2 linked regions of the Caenorhabditis elegans genome follow. The protein of the gene in region 1 interacts with the protein of each later gene in a pairwise test. Each region holds a gene or a part of one and is shown in the gene's direction. Other genes may lie near its edges.

What was found. The genes of interacting proteins can lie anywhere in the genome.
Region 2: the proteins of ucr-2.1 (region 1) and ZK131.11 interact in a two-hybrid assay, tested with the Caenorhabditis elegans proteins (one large-scale study listed by BioGRID).

Annotation. Positions count from the first base shown.
Region 1 is NC_003284.9:12,015,384-12,023,568, forward strand, and holds ucr-2.1 (Peptidase_M16 domain-containing protein), read left to right. Parts: upstream 1-3,045; 5' UTR 3,046-3,055; coding exon 3,056-3,085; intron 3,086-3,151; coding exon 3,152-3,193; intron 3,194-3,317; coding exon 3,318-3,414; intron 3,415-3,481; coding exon 3,482-3,645; intron 3,646-3,906; coding exon 3,907-4,188; intron 4,189-4,603; coding exon 4,604-4,755; intron 4,756-4,822; coding exon 4,823-5,117; intron 5,118-5,253; coding exon 5,254-5,385; intron 5,386-5,595; coding exon 5,596-5,676; 3' UTR 5,677-5,823; downstream 5,824-8,185. Other genes in the region: nmat-1 (Nicotinamide-nucleotide adenylyltransferase), read right to left, coding at 262-385, 562-668, 716-793.
Region 2 is NC_003280.10:13,789,478-13,796,814, forward strand, and holds the start of ZK131.11 (TORC_N domain-containing protein), read left to right. Parts: upstream 1-2,751; 5' UTR 2,752-2,802; coding exon 2,803-2,861; intron 2,862-4,357; coding exon 4,358-4,444; intron 4,445-7,337.

The DNA of each region.
Region 1 (8,185 bases):
TTAAAAAGGAAAGTGAATCATCAAAAGTGGCATTTTATTTAGATATACTCATATGAGTCTATTTTGTTTGGTCGACTAAGAAAAACTGAGTATTTTCCATTTTTAACTGTAAATAAAAACATTCAATCAATTTTTCTAGCAACATAGTAATGGTTTCCAAAATTTGCCCACTCATCTTGAAAAACACTCCTGGGAAATATATTTTTGAAAAAATTTTGAGCGATGTATTTTTCAAAGATTATCGAAAAGAAATAAACTTGCCTTCACATCCTGCTGATGATGTTTCAGAACATTAACAGTTGCAGTCCACTCAGACTGGGCACATTCCCAACCACTTGCATGAATCCAGTCAGAATCATAAGTTGCTGCTTCGGTTTGTGCAAGACTGCAATTATATTTTTGTGTTCAGTTACATAAAATTACATATTATTTTCTGATTTCAAAAAACTGAATTAAATATTATTGCGAACATAGTAACTCAATTAATTTGGAAATATTGTTTTCTGTGTTTTTTTTGTGTATAAACTTTTTTTGAATTGTCGCATTACACAGTTAACCTACCGATGTTTAGCGCTGATCAAACTCTTTTTCGCATAACCATCACTGACTGGGCTCATAATTCCTTCGAGAACTATTTTTCCTGACTTTTCTAGTGAGTACTTGGCATCCTAAATTTGTTTAATTATAACGTTAACTGATGATATACCTAAAATACCTCCATCATGCAAAGATGTCCATTTGTTGGAGGATTGAATGACCCGACTGCCAAAATGACAACTTTTTCGGTCCCCATAGTGGAATTGTTCTGTTTCAAAAAAACATTCTTACATACAGTGCGTCCAACTTCTATAGCACCCCCCTCCAATTCGGCCGTTTGGAGCTTTTCAAAATATTTTTTGGAAAAGTGTTAGTGCAGTTCGATAGCAAATGTTGAAAAACCTATGCTCCCCAATTTTTATCATGATATCTCAAAAATCACGGAAATTAGGTCAAAATATCTGAAAAATGGCCGTCCAACTTCTATAGCACCCCCTCTGATTTTTGACAAATTTCTGTAAATTCGGGGTTTTCTTCGTAGTTAATGAATTTATTTTGTAAATAACTTCACACCAAAATAATCAGGTGGTTTCACTTTCACATTTAAAAAATAAATATAACACTTGAAAACACGTGGAATGCCTGGGATTGTCCTGGAACGTTCTTATTTGCTTCAGAGGCCATATCTCGGCTCCCAATGATTTTCGCAGCACCAAAATTGATCAAAATGTTCTTCTCCGTCTATTCATTACTATGTAATTAGTTGTAGAAAGCATTTATTCATATGAACCAAATGGAAAATGGAGCAACTTCAGTGGTTTTTAAAAGGTTCGATTTAACCATGAAAACGAGCGTTCGGAGGCGCAGAGATAATGGTTGGGAATACATTTTCAACTAAAAATTACTACATTATAGCAAAAATTAAAAATTATTATATATGAACAACAAATCCGTGGAAATCCATGGGTAACTCAGATGCCAGACATCTACAATCGCAGGTTCAATGTTTTGTCTGGTAGCTTTTGCATTACTTGACCAAAAAAAGATTCAATGAGCGAATTCGCTAAATTTAACTTGAGTTATAAATACAACTAGCAAAATCGTCATTCGGAAAGGTATATCTTACTTTTCTGTCTAAAATTTTCGCATGTTAGCTTGAAAAAAAGACTTGCGGCCTCGCTTTGCCTTTGTCCTCTTTTTTGAGCGGTCTCATGATCTTTTCCGTATAAATTTTCAAAGACTTCTAATTAAAATCGAAGCTTCAAAGACATTTGAGCAGGATGAGCTGAAGTTCTGTACAATACGAAGTCAAAACCTTCAGCTCTGCGCCTCCGAACGCTCGTTGTCATGGTTAAATCGAACCTTTTAAAAACCACTGAAGTTGCTCCTTTTACCATTTGGTTCATATGAATAAATGCTTTCTACAACTAATTACATAGTAATGAATAGACGGAGAAGAACATTTTGATCAATTTTGGTGCTGCGAAAATCATTGGGAGCCGAGATATGGCCTCTGAAGCAAATAAGAACGTTCCAGGACAATCCCAGGCATTCCACGTGTTTTCAAGTGTTATATTTATTTTTTAAATGTGAAAGTGAAACCACCTGATTATTTTGGTGTGAAGTTATTTACAAACTAAATTCATTAACTACGAAGAAAACCCCGAATTTACAGAAATTTGTCAAAAATCAGAGGGGGTGCTATAGAAGTTGGACGGCCATTTTTCAGATATTTTGACCTAATTTCCGTGATTTTTGAGATATCATGATAAAAATTGGGGTGCATAGGTTTTTCAACATTTGCTATCGAACTGCACTAACACTTTTCCGAAAATATTTTGAAAAGCTCCAAACGGCCGAATTGGAGGGGGGTGCTATAGAAGTTGGACGCACTGTAGAAAACATAGTCTCAATCGAACTGAGATTATTGTTTGCTAAAACACAGTGTCTCATATTTATTGATATAAATAGGAAGAAAACAATGTGGAAAATTGTTTAATGAATTGCTAATAAAGTTTAAAAATGATAAACAATTACCTTTCAAGTGCATTACTCAATGCCTCAAAACACTATCGCTTTGAAATAAGTTTCAATTTCGCAATGGTCACACTATGAAACACGCCCGTAATATTTTATATACTCCCTTGCGTCTTTCATTACCCACTGGCAAACGTCACACTCCAAGCAACTACAGAACACTTGGGGGCTAGTCACACTCTCGCTAGGCCGCGGCCGCAGGTCTGCAAGCGCGCTCTATTGACAAAGCATCCCGCTGAGACGCACGTATTTATCGACCGCCCAATTGTTTTCAGCTTATATTAATGCTCACTTTTTATATTTTATCAGAAATGTTGTAAACTTAAATAGAAAAATTAATTATCTTTCTTATGATACCAAAACCATTAATATTAATTAGTGAAAATTCATAAAAACTTGCTGAAAACATTATTTTTGCATATTTTTTTTTAATTTTCGCTTTTTTCCAAGAAAAAAAAATTGCTTTTTCAGGGTTACAATTATGCTGTCGCGCCCATCTGGAACTGTTGCGGTGAGTATTTAATTCGAAAAATGTTTGTGGGAAATTTTCATCGATATAATTGAAAATCGTTTTCAGAAAACTGAATTTCAATTGAGAAGAAATGTTCTGCCTGCCTTGGTGAGAGTTGATAAATGCCTAGATTGCAGTTTTTTCTTACCCAGCTAAAAACTAATTCCGAATTTCTATGAGCAAAAATATGAACTTTTCGATTAAAACAAATCAAAAAAGTAAAAAAATTCAGAAGCGCTTCGTCTCGGCTGCAGCCAAATCTGCTGGAGTTCAAGAGAAGACAACTGTCTTGGAAAATGGTCTCCGCGTATCAAGCGTTGAACTAAACGGTATGTGGGCGTTGGATATAGCAAAGCATAGCAAAAATCAATTAACAAAATCATTTTTTTTGTTTAGGAGCCACTTCTTCAATTGTTTTGGCATTCCGCGCCGGAAGCCGTTACCAACCAGCCAACAAGCAAGGACTTACCCACCTTATCCGTAACAGTGTTGGCCGCGATGCTCCAAACTTCCCAGGGTTGGCGCTTGTCTGGAATACAGCTCAGAATGGAGGAAACTTGGTACGAACTCAAAAGAGCAAGAGAGAAAGTGAATGATAGAAAAGGAGACGCGGGAGTATTTTGAGATAAAAAGAGCTCATTAAATATAATAAAACCACTAAAAGAATGCATTGCGACCTAACTATCTGTGAGGGTATCGTAATGTTTTTCATTTTTAGTTGTACCAGCTGTTTTAATGATGACGAGTTTGTAGTACTACTTACTTTTAGAGTTGGAAATATGTATTAAAGTTACTGATTTAGTAAAAATAAAATATTCCAGACCGCAGTCTCCAACCGTGATGTGCTCGCTATTGAAGTCAACGTCGTTCGTGACCAATCCGCAGTGGTCCTCTCACTTCTCGGACAGCTCGGAAATAATGCTTTCAAGCCATGGGATGTTGAAGATGTTAAGCACGACACTCTTCCAGCTGACGCCACATACCTCACCGGAACCACCATCGCTTTCGAGCAACTTCACCAGGCTGCCTTCAGAAATGGAGGACTCGGACTTTCGAACTACAGCGTCAACAACGTCTCTGCCAAGGACTTGTCTGCTTTTGCTGTGAGTTTTAAATTGAAAACTTGGAGCTTGTGGCAAATTGTGCAATGATTTTTTAAAGTGACTTTAAAGTTGCTCATAGTATTGAAAATGATTAAAAACGGCATGTATTAAAATAATTTCCAATAATTAATTTCTGAAAGAATCTGAAAACGTTTCGAAAATTTGGCGGTGTACAAACTCCTGATGTTGCTCGACTCCAAACCTTTTGTTGCTTAGAAAAATCGTAGGCCGCAGCGGAAAAATTGAAAGGTTACTGACGAATTTCAAAGTTTGAGCTTACACAAGACGGACTTCCGTGTTTTTTCCAGTTGATTGGGCAAACTGCCACTAATAAAAAATTACGTTGGGTATACCTATTCTATTGTTTTTGATATACATATCAAATCAATTTTCAACCCAATATTTTCTTTTTCAGAAGGAACGACTCGTTGCCGGTGAAGCTGTTCTGGTCGGTGTCAACGTCGATCATGACACTCTGGTCCAGGCCGGAAGCACACAATTCCCACTGGCCCAGAACCAGCCCGCCAAGGCTACCCCAGCTAAATATTTTGGAGGAGAAGCCCGCAAGTGAGAATTTTTTTTTGCCTTGCTTACAAACAAACCTTACAAAAGTAAATTATCAAATTTAATTTAGGGATGGTCGTGGAAATCGCTCATACGTTGCCATTGCCGGAGAAGGATCCGCCATCACATCTGTCAAGGATGTTGCTGTCCAAGCCGTAGTCGCCCAGATTCTTCTGAACGCCGCTCAAAAAGTCACATCAGAGGCTATTTCCGTAAATGTCAACTACCAGGATTCCGGACTCGTCGGAGTTCAATTCGCTGCCTGCAACACACAGATTACTCAAGTCACCAAGTCTATTGCCTCTGCCATCAAGTCTGCAAAAGCCGATGGTCTTGACAACGCCAAGAACACGGCGGCCGTTCAAGTAAGAGTCGTTGCTGAGATATTAAACACTGAAAATCGTGATCCGAACTTTCAAATATGGGATATGTTATGACTGAAATATGGAAATATATGATAGAAGTCAGCATAGAAATTTGTATTAATTATTTCTGTTCCAGGTTCTTTCCGACGCTCAACACGCATCTGAAGTCGCATTGGAGAAGGCAACTCAAGTGCTTGCCGGAGTAGAGGTGTCTCCACGCGAATTCGCCGACGCTATCCGCGCAGTCACTGCCCAAGACGTCACCCAGGTTTGTTTCGCACTATCTGCAACTGCAAGCGATTTAGGCTTCAATAAAAAACACTGCTTTCAATTTGCAATTCATCAAACATTTATGAGTGCGTATGTGTATGCATTCAAAGTATCAATTTCACTAATTGAATTCTCCACTCTCGTTTTGAAACACTAAAACTCTAATGCAGCTGGTAGAGTTCAATGAAAAAATGCACATTTTTTGCAGGCCTTGTCCCGTGTCAATGGAAAACTCTCGTTGGCTGCATATGGAAGCACATCACTCGTCCCATATCTCGACGAGCTATAAATTGTTACAAGTTTTTTTAAAGTTAAACAAAACTCATAAGGTCTATGGCAGATCGAATTTTTGAAAATTTAAATTTCCAATTTCTTATTTGTGTAAGTTGTTTGCTGTAGAAGCTGTTCAGATAAAGGTTCTGAATAAAGGAAAAACATTAGCTCTTGTTGTTTTTTTTTGTTCAAAATTACAAGTTAATTACTGTGGTTCTAAGGTTCTTCTATGAGCAGGTTTTCAGAAGATTTCAACATTGTTCAGTTAACTTACAGGTTAGTAAATGCAATGGTCTTTTTACCGAAACGCAACAGTGCTAAAAATTTGTTAGCCATAGCGTATCAAAGTGGAACTAATTTTGTTGTTTGAAAAAGTTGAATACCACCGTGGAGGTGTTTGGATTTTGGTTTTGGTTTTGAACAAAAAGATGAAGCATGAGCAGAAAAACGAAAAATGACGTGGGATTGGTCGGTGAAATTTCGGAAGGGGACCCACACACATATTCTCACACACTCTCTTCACATGATGTACCTATTGTTGGAAAGAGGCTGCAAAGTAGCAAAAAGCAATGCACAGAGAGAGAGAAAGAGTCAAAATTATTCAAAACCAAATTTGTCTGCATCTGGCGACCCCCTACCCTTCTTCAACCTTTCCCCCTTCTTTTTTCCTTTCTTCCCCTTTTTTCTCTTTTGAAATCATCAGGGTCCCACTTTTCTCTATTTTCTTATTTTTTTGTGTGTATGCTTTTTATACTTCATCAAGAAAAACTTTTTTTTTCACTTTTCCTTCGCCACTCAAAATTTATTATTACTTTTTTTGAGTCTAGTCGTAACACGTTCTCTGGGATTTGTCCTCAAATTCTATGGACTGGAAATTGAATTTTTCCGGTTGGAACTTTATTTTGACCCGTGATCTTACATTCCAAATACCGAATCGTAAAGCAATTTGTTTTTTGAAAAATAATGTTTTAGCCTCTTTTTTTCCAGTGTGGAAGTTCATCTTGAAATGAAAAATTCTTGACTAGCATTCTACTTTCGAAATCCTTGTAGATATCTTTAATTAAAATTTCATTATTGACAGCCTTCTCAAGATTTTCTTTTTTCCGGACTATAACTCCTAGAATTATCATTTAAAGTAACATAGAAATCTAGGTTTATAGAAATCTAGTCTAGTTTTACCTTTTAGGTTTTGACCTCAAGCTCGATGAGTTGGAAGTTAACTTTTCCGGTTAAAATTTTGAACTGAATTTGATTTTATTACCCAGACATGCCTGACAAGTGACGTTATTAAACATTTTTATGTTTCTTCTCGGTTTTTATAATACCTTATTTTTTATTAGTATTGCCCCCAATTTTTCAAATTTGACATCTTACACCTCATTTGTTGTTTGTTCTATTGAAAACTTGTGAATTATCAAAATATGTGCTAGTTTTTTTTTAACTGTTTGTAGTTTACATGATAACATTAAAGTGAGATATTCACCTCAAAGTAAATCAGTCGGAATTAACACTAATAGAAAAATACCATTTCAGTGTTTAAAGGTTTTAGAAAGGTTTACTAATTGATCATGTTTATCGTTTCAACAATCGCATGTGGTCTGTGATCGATGCCTTCCAACTTCAACATATATCACCTGTAATAATTTCTTGGAAACGTTGAAAGTTACTGGAATGATTGTATGCTTCCAGGTGCTTTTTTTCGATTTTGTGATTTTCACCTGTTCTCATTCAATAATGATTGGAAAACTTTGAATTGCTGTAAAATATTATTTTATTTTGTCTGTTTTATCTAAGAAAATTTATAAGGTAGGAAACTAGGCACCTTTGCACAAAATTTTCTACCAGTTGTATACACTAACAAAGTTTAAAATATTTTAAAATACTCAATTTTTTTTAGATAAGTGTATAAAGATAATATTTTAACAAATCATCACTCTACTTCACGCTAAGCATCACCCACTAACTAAACAACTATAAATAAAAAAAAAAGAAAATAAGATGTTTTGTTTGATGAACCATTTAAAAAGAGAGCAGTAGTCACAAACAAAATTTATACTTTTAAAAAACAGTTTAGCATGAGGGTGCAAAACTATTAGAGACTGCAATACTATTGTTCGATTGGTCCGTAGGGGTGCAAGACTAATAGAGGCTGCAAGACGAATAGAGGAAATACGGTAATTTGTTTTGCTACGCTAAACGTTCATTCGCGCGTACTGTTTTACATGTTTGCACTTTTTCAAAGCCTTGCCCAATAAGCTTCAATTTCCGGATTTTTTTTTATGAATATGTTTCTTGTCCCTCCCAGTGCTACTTCTTGGGATTCGATTCATTCGTCTAATTTTGCTAATTACACTAGTTGGAAAAGACACGTATGCATTGCCAATCAAGATAGAAAAAAAGAATACGAGAAATAGAGGAAGAGCTACTAGATTTCCGCTCTTAATCAAACCAAATTCAAATCAGGAGTGCTCTAAATCTCTTCATGTTTTCACAGTGTACATGATGAAAGGAATCCGTATTTTTAC
Region 2 (7,337 bases), on another chromosome or scaffold:
TAGGGGTATACAGGTAGAACTAGAAATATAGCAGCCGACAAAATCAAGGCTGACACCAAACCCTTTCTGATCGATGCACCATGACATAAGGGGGTTAGCGGTAGGATTCCTGTAGCAGAGAGCTAAAGGAGCACTATTTGGCCAGCAACCGACAAAAACGAGGCTTCACTTTTAGTATCAGGTGTTACTATGTACATCTATCTTCTCCCGCACCCTCCCTCAAAACTGATACCAAACCCATTCTGATCGATGCACCATGTCATTGTGAGATTTGCTCAGGCTTCTGTAGCAGAGCTATAGGAGCAGTATAAAGCCAACAGCCGACAAAAACCAGGCTTAACTTCCAGTATCAGGTGCTACTCTCAAAAAACCCCCCTGCACAATAAATCACTGGAACCCCATTGACAAAAAGAAACACTTCTGCTGGCTCCCCTCCCCCGGTGTAATGGCAGGATTGACACCTGCGCGATGGGGTGGTGGTGGTGGTGGACAACATCAAAAATCTTCTTCTTCTTCCTCCTCTCCTATCATCAAGCTTTTGCTTTTTCTTGCTCTCACATCTTGATTGGATTACACACACGTACACATTGAAATCCTTGTACCCCCTCTTTTCAATTTTCTTTTTCATGTTCTCAATTTCAATATTTTTACTTATTTTTCACACCCTACAATCTACAAAGTTGTTCCCAAATTAGCTGCGATTTGAGCCATTGTACTAGGACGTAAACGGATGATCCAATTTTGAGTTGAGCTTTTACTATTGTCCAAAAGGAGTACACTCTCCGAAATCTTTTGATCTTTTTCCCCTTCTCGAGAAATTTGATCCAACCTTGCACATGCAGATGCTCAATGACCTTATCATCTGTTTCTTCCCTTTTATTCCCCGCCCGCCGGTTTTACGAGGTTCACCCCTTGCCTCCCCAAGCAAAACTGATGTATCTCAGCGGACACGCACTTGAGCAGAAATTTGTTAAATAGTAAATTGTAGGAAAATGTTTGGGCTACAAATTGTTAGTTGATAAATTTTTTATATCGTCAAAACCAGTAGAGTTATGACGGTTTTACGGCAAAAATTTGAGATTTTAGGTGAAACAATTGAAACATTTATATCTCTTTAGTTTTGAAAATTATGAAAAACTTGTTAACTGGCAAATTGAAACCAATTTTCCAATTTTTTAGGCAATATTTTGCTAGTTGGCAATTTTTTGATAGCTCCCATGGTTACTGAGAAATAGGTGGTTCAAATTATGGATATCCCTGTACCCGTGAGATGTCGGCCGCAGCGTGGAAAACACGATTTGCAGCGGACACTTTACTGGCTTTTACAAAAACTCCGCTACCGCCCGCCACCGCCTGCTGATGCCCGCTACCGGCCTGCTACAGCACCGCTACCGCCCTGCTACAGCACCGCTACCGCCCGCTACCGCCCGCTACCGCCCGCTACCGCCCGCTACCGCCCGCTACCGCCCGCTACCGCCCGCTACCGCCCGCTACCGCCCGCTACCGCCCGCTACCGCCCGCTACCGCCCGCTACCGCCCGCTACCGCCCGCTACCGCCCGCTACCGCCCGCTACCGCCCGCTACCGCCCGCTACCTCCCGCTACCGCCCGTGAGGTGTCGGCTGCTTTATTAACTTTTTCATTTTCATATGCGTCTTGTTCTATCAAGCTTTGTCGCATAAATTCCGCTCAAATTTCCTGAGGGTACATCTTTTATCGCCGACCCGCACCACGACCGCCATGTGCCATTTGTCTCGATAGTTTTATGAGAAGAACAAGCACTTTCCATGTTGACATATGTCATTTTGCCACCACCACACACACACACATATTGATGATGAAGACGAACTATTTGTTCGTTTTCCGATATCATTTACTGCTTCCGCCGCCGTGTTCCTAGTTTTCGGGAATTTTTTACTAAATTTGACATACAAAACTGCTCCCTTTTTGAAAAACTCGGCCACACCATCACTATATAGTCTCAGCTCATCACAGATTGGCGAGATTCGAATTTCGCGCGCTTCTCACATTACCAGGGCTTTCGAGTGGGGTGGGTGATATTTGAAAGAGATGACCACCGCCACTATTATAGTTAGATTTTGAGATGAGGAGTACTAAAATGCATGCAATTTTGGACTCATATGTATTTTGTATTTGTGATTGAAAAAATTGTATATCTAAAAAATGACCCGAGTTATGATTCTTCCCGCAAGTTTACTTTTTTTTTGAAAAATTTATTTTTCCCTCACTTTCTTCGCCTTTTTCTCATTGTTAAGTCGATTTTTATTGTTTAAAATTTATATAAAAATATAGATAAACCAGTCGTTTGAATTTTCCGCCAAAATTGGTTTTATCAGAAAATTAAAATTCCCGCCAAAAATTTTTCTCAGAAAATTTAAACTCCAGCCGATATTTTTCTATATTTCTATTTAAAAAAAAGCCAGAAAAAATTAGCAAGCTTATTAGAATAATAGGATTTTTGAAATTTTCCTACCCCGACTCTATTTGAAATGGTGGCCGAGTTTTGGTTTTTTCGGCCACCACCCAAAAATTCTGGTATAGTACTACTACTACTACATAATATTGTGACCTCTTTCAGCTTCTTCATACATACACTTTCTCTCGCCCCATTCTTCTTATTCTCATATATTTACGTTCCATTCTATTCATTCACTCTCTCGTTTTACCCTATTCACCTTTTCTCCCAATACGCTTCGTTTTTTTTAAAATTTTCTGCAATGATGATTTTCAGAATTATTTGAACTATTGACGTCTACAAACACACGCCTGGGACTCACACAAAATGCCTGACGCCTATATGATGGGCTCGACGGCAACGCTCAATGCTCGTCGGCAGTACAGGTGAGAATTGGGCAAAATTTAAATATTTTTAAAAATTTATAAAAATTAGCTCAATTTTACCGGCTGATATCTCGGTTGTTCCAAATTTTCACAAAAAATTGTCAACTAAAAATGTTGCCCAAAAATTTCTGAAAAATACGTCAGTTGGCAGCTTTTTAATATTCCTAACCATTTTGGAAATTTGCTGGTTTGAAATTGGGTAGTTTTTTTTCAGGTAGAAAATATGTTCGATTAGCCTAACTTTGCCGGTTCATATCTCGGTTGGTTTTGGTTTTATCAAAAAATTGTCAACTAAGAAAAGATTTATTTAACAATTGTCTATATTTTTGTAATTAAAAGTTTATTGATATTTTCAAAATGAGCTGAGATATTAGTAGTATAAGTAGTAATGGTGCTCAAATCGGGCAAAATCAACAATATTTCGAAAAATCGCACAATTTTTAAATTGAAAAAGATATTATATAGAACTATTACTTGTTTAATGACAATAATATTCTAACTTTAAAATTTTTTGTTACATGCCTACGTGCCTACCTCATGCCTGCCTTTCAGTTGAAGTAATTTTTTGAATGTTCAACACTGAAACAGTGAGAAAAAAGGGACCAGGAAGTAGGGACGAGTGTAGGCCTGCCTATGAGGTATATACTGCCTGTTCATGCCTGCCTGCCTACCACCTAGTTTCTGAACATTCGTAAACTTTCCAATTAAATGTTTTGTTTAAATACCTGTTCAACTAACACTAAATATAATCAGGAATGATTTGTAAGTAGGCAAGAGTGTAGGCAAGGTGTAGGTACAAGCCGCCTTGTAGGTAGGCGTATGTCGCAGGCCTACCTATGCCTTCCTACCTACCGCCTAGTTTTTGCACATTTCTCAACTTTCCAATTAAATATTATTTTTCAAATATCTGTTCAACTAACACTGAATATAATCAGGAATATGTGTAGGCGCAGGCCGCCTTGTAGGTAGGCGTAGGTCACCTTGTAGGCAGGTAGGTAGACAATTTGTAGACATATACCTTCTTATAGACATACAGTTGGAGGCAAACTGCCAATTCAGGTTCTCTCCCGATTTCTCCCAATTTCCATTTAGCCACCCAAATGGCATGACAGTTCTCGAAACTAATTTTCTTTTTTGTTATTATATAAAATGCCTATAATTCTTTCATTTCTCGACGTGAAATCCAACGTTTCAAGTTTTCTTAAAACTGATTTTTTTAAAAATATTTTTTGTTGGAAAAATCAAAATAATAATATTCTAACGTATTTTCCTCATTTCCAACTCTGATACTTTCCGACAAAAACAGTTTTCCGAATCCACGTTGGCATGTTTGGAGTATTTCGCAATCCAATATGTTTTATGAAGGCAAAAGGGTTAGTTTTTTAGGGTTGCGGCATGGGGAAATTTGCAGAAAAACATGTAAAATGTACTATTTTGAAGCCAAAGAAAACATCTTAAAAGTTGAAAAATAGTTCCAAAAAATTTTAAACTTTCAGATCGGTTGCATTTGGCACGTGGAAAGTGGGCGGAGCCAGGAATATGACGGAGCGAAGGTCCGAGGAGCCACTTTCAAGACTGAAATGGTTGGTTTTTGACTTTTTTTTCTTAAATTTTATCGTTTGTATGCTAAAAATGTACTGAGAATTGAAAAATAGGATATCGATTATTTGAAACAAATTTTTTAATTCAAAAAAAAAAAATTCCGAATCGATTTTGATTTATTTCAAAATATTTTAAAATTGTGTTGGAAATTCAAAAACAAGTGGTGGTGCCAGGCTGCCCCCCATTACGGCTTGATCTACAAAAATGCGGGAATTTTTCGCCCAAAAAATGTGACGTCAGCACATTCTTAACCATGCAAAATCAGTTGAGAACTCTTCGCGTCTCTTCTCCCGCTTTTTTTGTAGAAATATGTAGATCAAACCGAAATGAGACACTCGGACACCACGTGAAAAAGTTTAATGTATTTAAAAATTAAAAAAAAAATTCTGTGAAAATTGAAAAACCGGAAAAATTTTTGAAAATAAAAAAAAAAAATTAAAAAAAAATTCCAAAAAAATAAATAATTCCAGAGTATTGTTTTAAAAATTCGTTTAAAAAATCCTAAAAATTTAGAAAGTAATGAAGTTTGAAAAAATGGAATTTTTTGAAATTTCGGTAATTTAAAAATAAATAAGTGTGAAAAAAAATCAATTTTTATAAAATTAAATTTTTTGGCAGTTTCAGCAATTTTTTTGAATGTTCTAAAACATATAAAAATCCTGAAATTGGTGGCCGAATTTTCTCCATCATCGGCCACTCTAAAAAGTTTCAAAAGTTTCGAATTCCCCCCCCCCCCCCCCCACTTCGGAACACGAAGCGCATTTTAATGGTGGCAAATAGGATTAGGTGGATAACAATGGGATTGCCCCCGGTTGCCTGTACAATCCTCTTTTTTTCACGGCAAAAGGTAATCCCAGTATCCCCCGATGACTGGTTTTCTCTGCGTCTCCCCCGTCCACCCTCACACTATCGGGGTCCATCCCGTACTAATTGGCCATTTCCATGCCTATTCTTCTGCTGCTGCTGCTGCAACCTGAATCTACAATTGTGTTTCATTTTTCCAGTAGTCGTACTATGTTATGTGTTCATTTCTTTATATATATATATATATATATATATTGTCTTCTCTGCCCTCTTCGTCTGAAATGAGGTGGAACCGCTCTCAAATAAAGAAGACGGTGATTGAGTGGTGGAATTGACGTGATGAATAAGGAATTTTATGAGATTGGACCTAATTTTGTATGGAATAGGTTAAAGGGACATTAGGGGTTTTGATCTACTTGGGTTGGGGGAAAAAGAGCAATATCCTGTGAACGTCCAGTCCTGCCGGGCTTCGGTTTTTTTTATAGAAAAACCGAAAAACGAAAACTTTTGCTCGAAAAAGTGCAATTTCTGCTGTTTGCCCCCCGAAAATTGAAAAATCGGAAAAAAAACGGCCCGCTACCGCCCCGCTACCGCACCGCTACCGCCCCGCTTTCGCCCCGCTACCGCCCCGCTACCGCACCGCTACCGCACCGGCAGTCTCTAAGTCGCTCATAGACTCTTAGTAACACTCTCAGACCTTTACAGTACCCTCTTTCCCCAAAAGTAAATCAAATTTCCCTCCCAAGCCAATTTCAATCGTCCCCAATCACATTCTGCAAAACGGATGAAGATCTGAATGGACAGTGTCAGATAATCATCGTCGTCATCTCAAGTTAAAAAGTGCGCGCCTCCTCCACCATCACCATTTTGTCCTTGAATTTGAAAATCTAACGGGGATGGTGAAAACGTCTCAAGGTTGTTGGATGTGCAGCTTAATTAGGGGAGCATGAAGGACGTGTGAATGTTGCCAGGCGTGCTCGGTCATGTGGCACTGATTCGGATGATATTTGAATTTTTCAAATCAATACAGTACTACTTTCGAATTCCCCGCCAAATTCTCCCACATAAAAGTTTCATATTTTTGCAATAATGTGTTCAATTGATGGCATATGCACACACAAAGTGAAAAGCACACACACACATATGACAGACCACCTCCCTTTTTAAAAAGTGAAACACTTTCACTCGCCCCGAAGACCGTTCGTTTCCCCCTATCCACCACCCAAACAAAAAGCGAGACAAACAATGAAACTTGAGCCCCCCCTCCTCTCTTGAGCCTCTCGGTTTGGAGCATTTTTATTCGAAATCCTTCTAATCGGCCCCGCATTAGTTCACTAATTGAGCTGACTGGGAAAGGAAATGGATCGTATTTCGGTGTTTTTTTCGGGAAAAATCGAGATTGACTTGGCTTTTTTCTAGGTCAATATATGTTTTCCTATGATTTTTTAAGGCACCGTCCAAAAATGACCTTCTTGACTGGGCCCGTTCAGGCTTATTTTTAGCTACGTTTATATTTGTCCAATTTTAAAAAAATTGTTTCCTTTTTGTAATCAAAATTCTTGATTTTTCTGGAATTTCTTTTTTCTCTCATCCTCTCCTCGCCCAACCTCGGCCTAATCCGAAGCATAAGTCTAAGCCTAAGCCTAAGCTTAGGCCTAAGCCTAAGCCCAAGCCTACGCATAAGCCTAAGCCTAAGCCTGAGCCTAAGCTTAAGCCTAAGCCTAAGCCTAAGCCTAAGACTAAGCCTAAGCCCAAGCCCAAGCCTACGCCTAAGCCTAAGCCTAAACCTGAGCCTAAGCAAAAGCCAAAGCTTAAGCCTAAACCTAAGCCTAAGACTGAGCCTTAGCCTAAGCTTAAGCCTGAGCCTAAGCCTAAGCCTGATCCTAGGCCTAAGCCTAGGCCTAAGCCTAGGCCTAAGCCTAGGCCTAAGACTAAACCTAAACCTAAGCCTAAGCCTATGCCTATGCCTAAGCCTCGTCACCCGGGCCTGTCCAGATGCTTTATCTAGGACCATGTTTGTCGAAGTATAGCCCGAATTGTGCCCGGAAGTTGTCCCTCTAGACTTTGCCG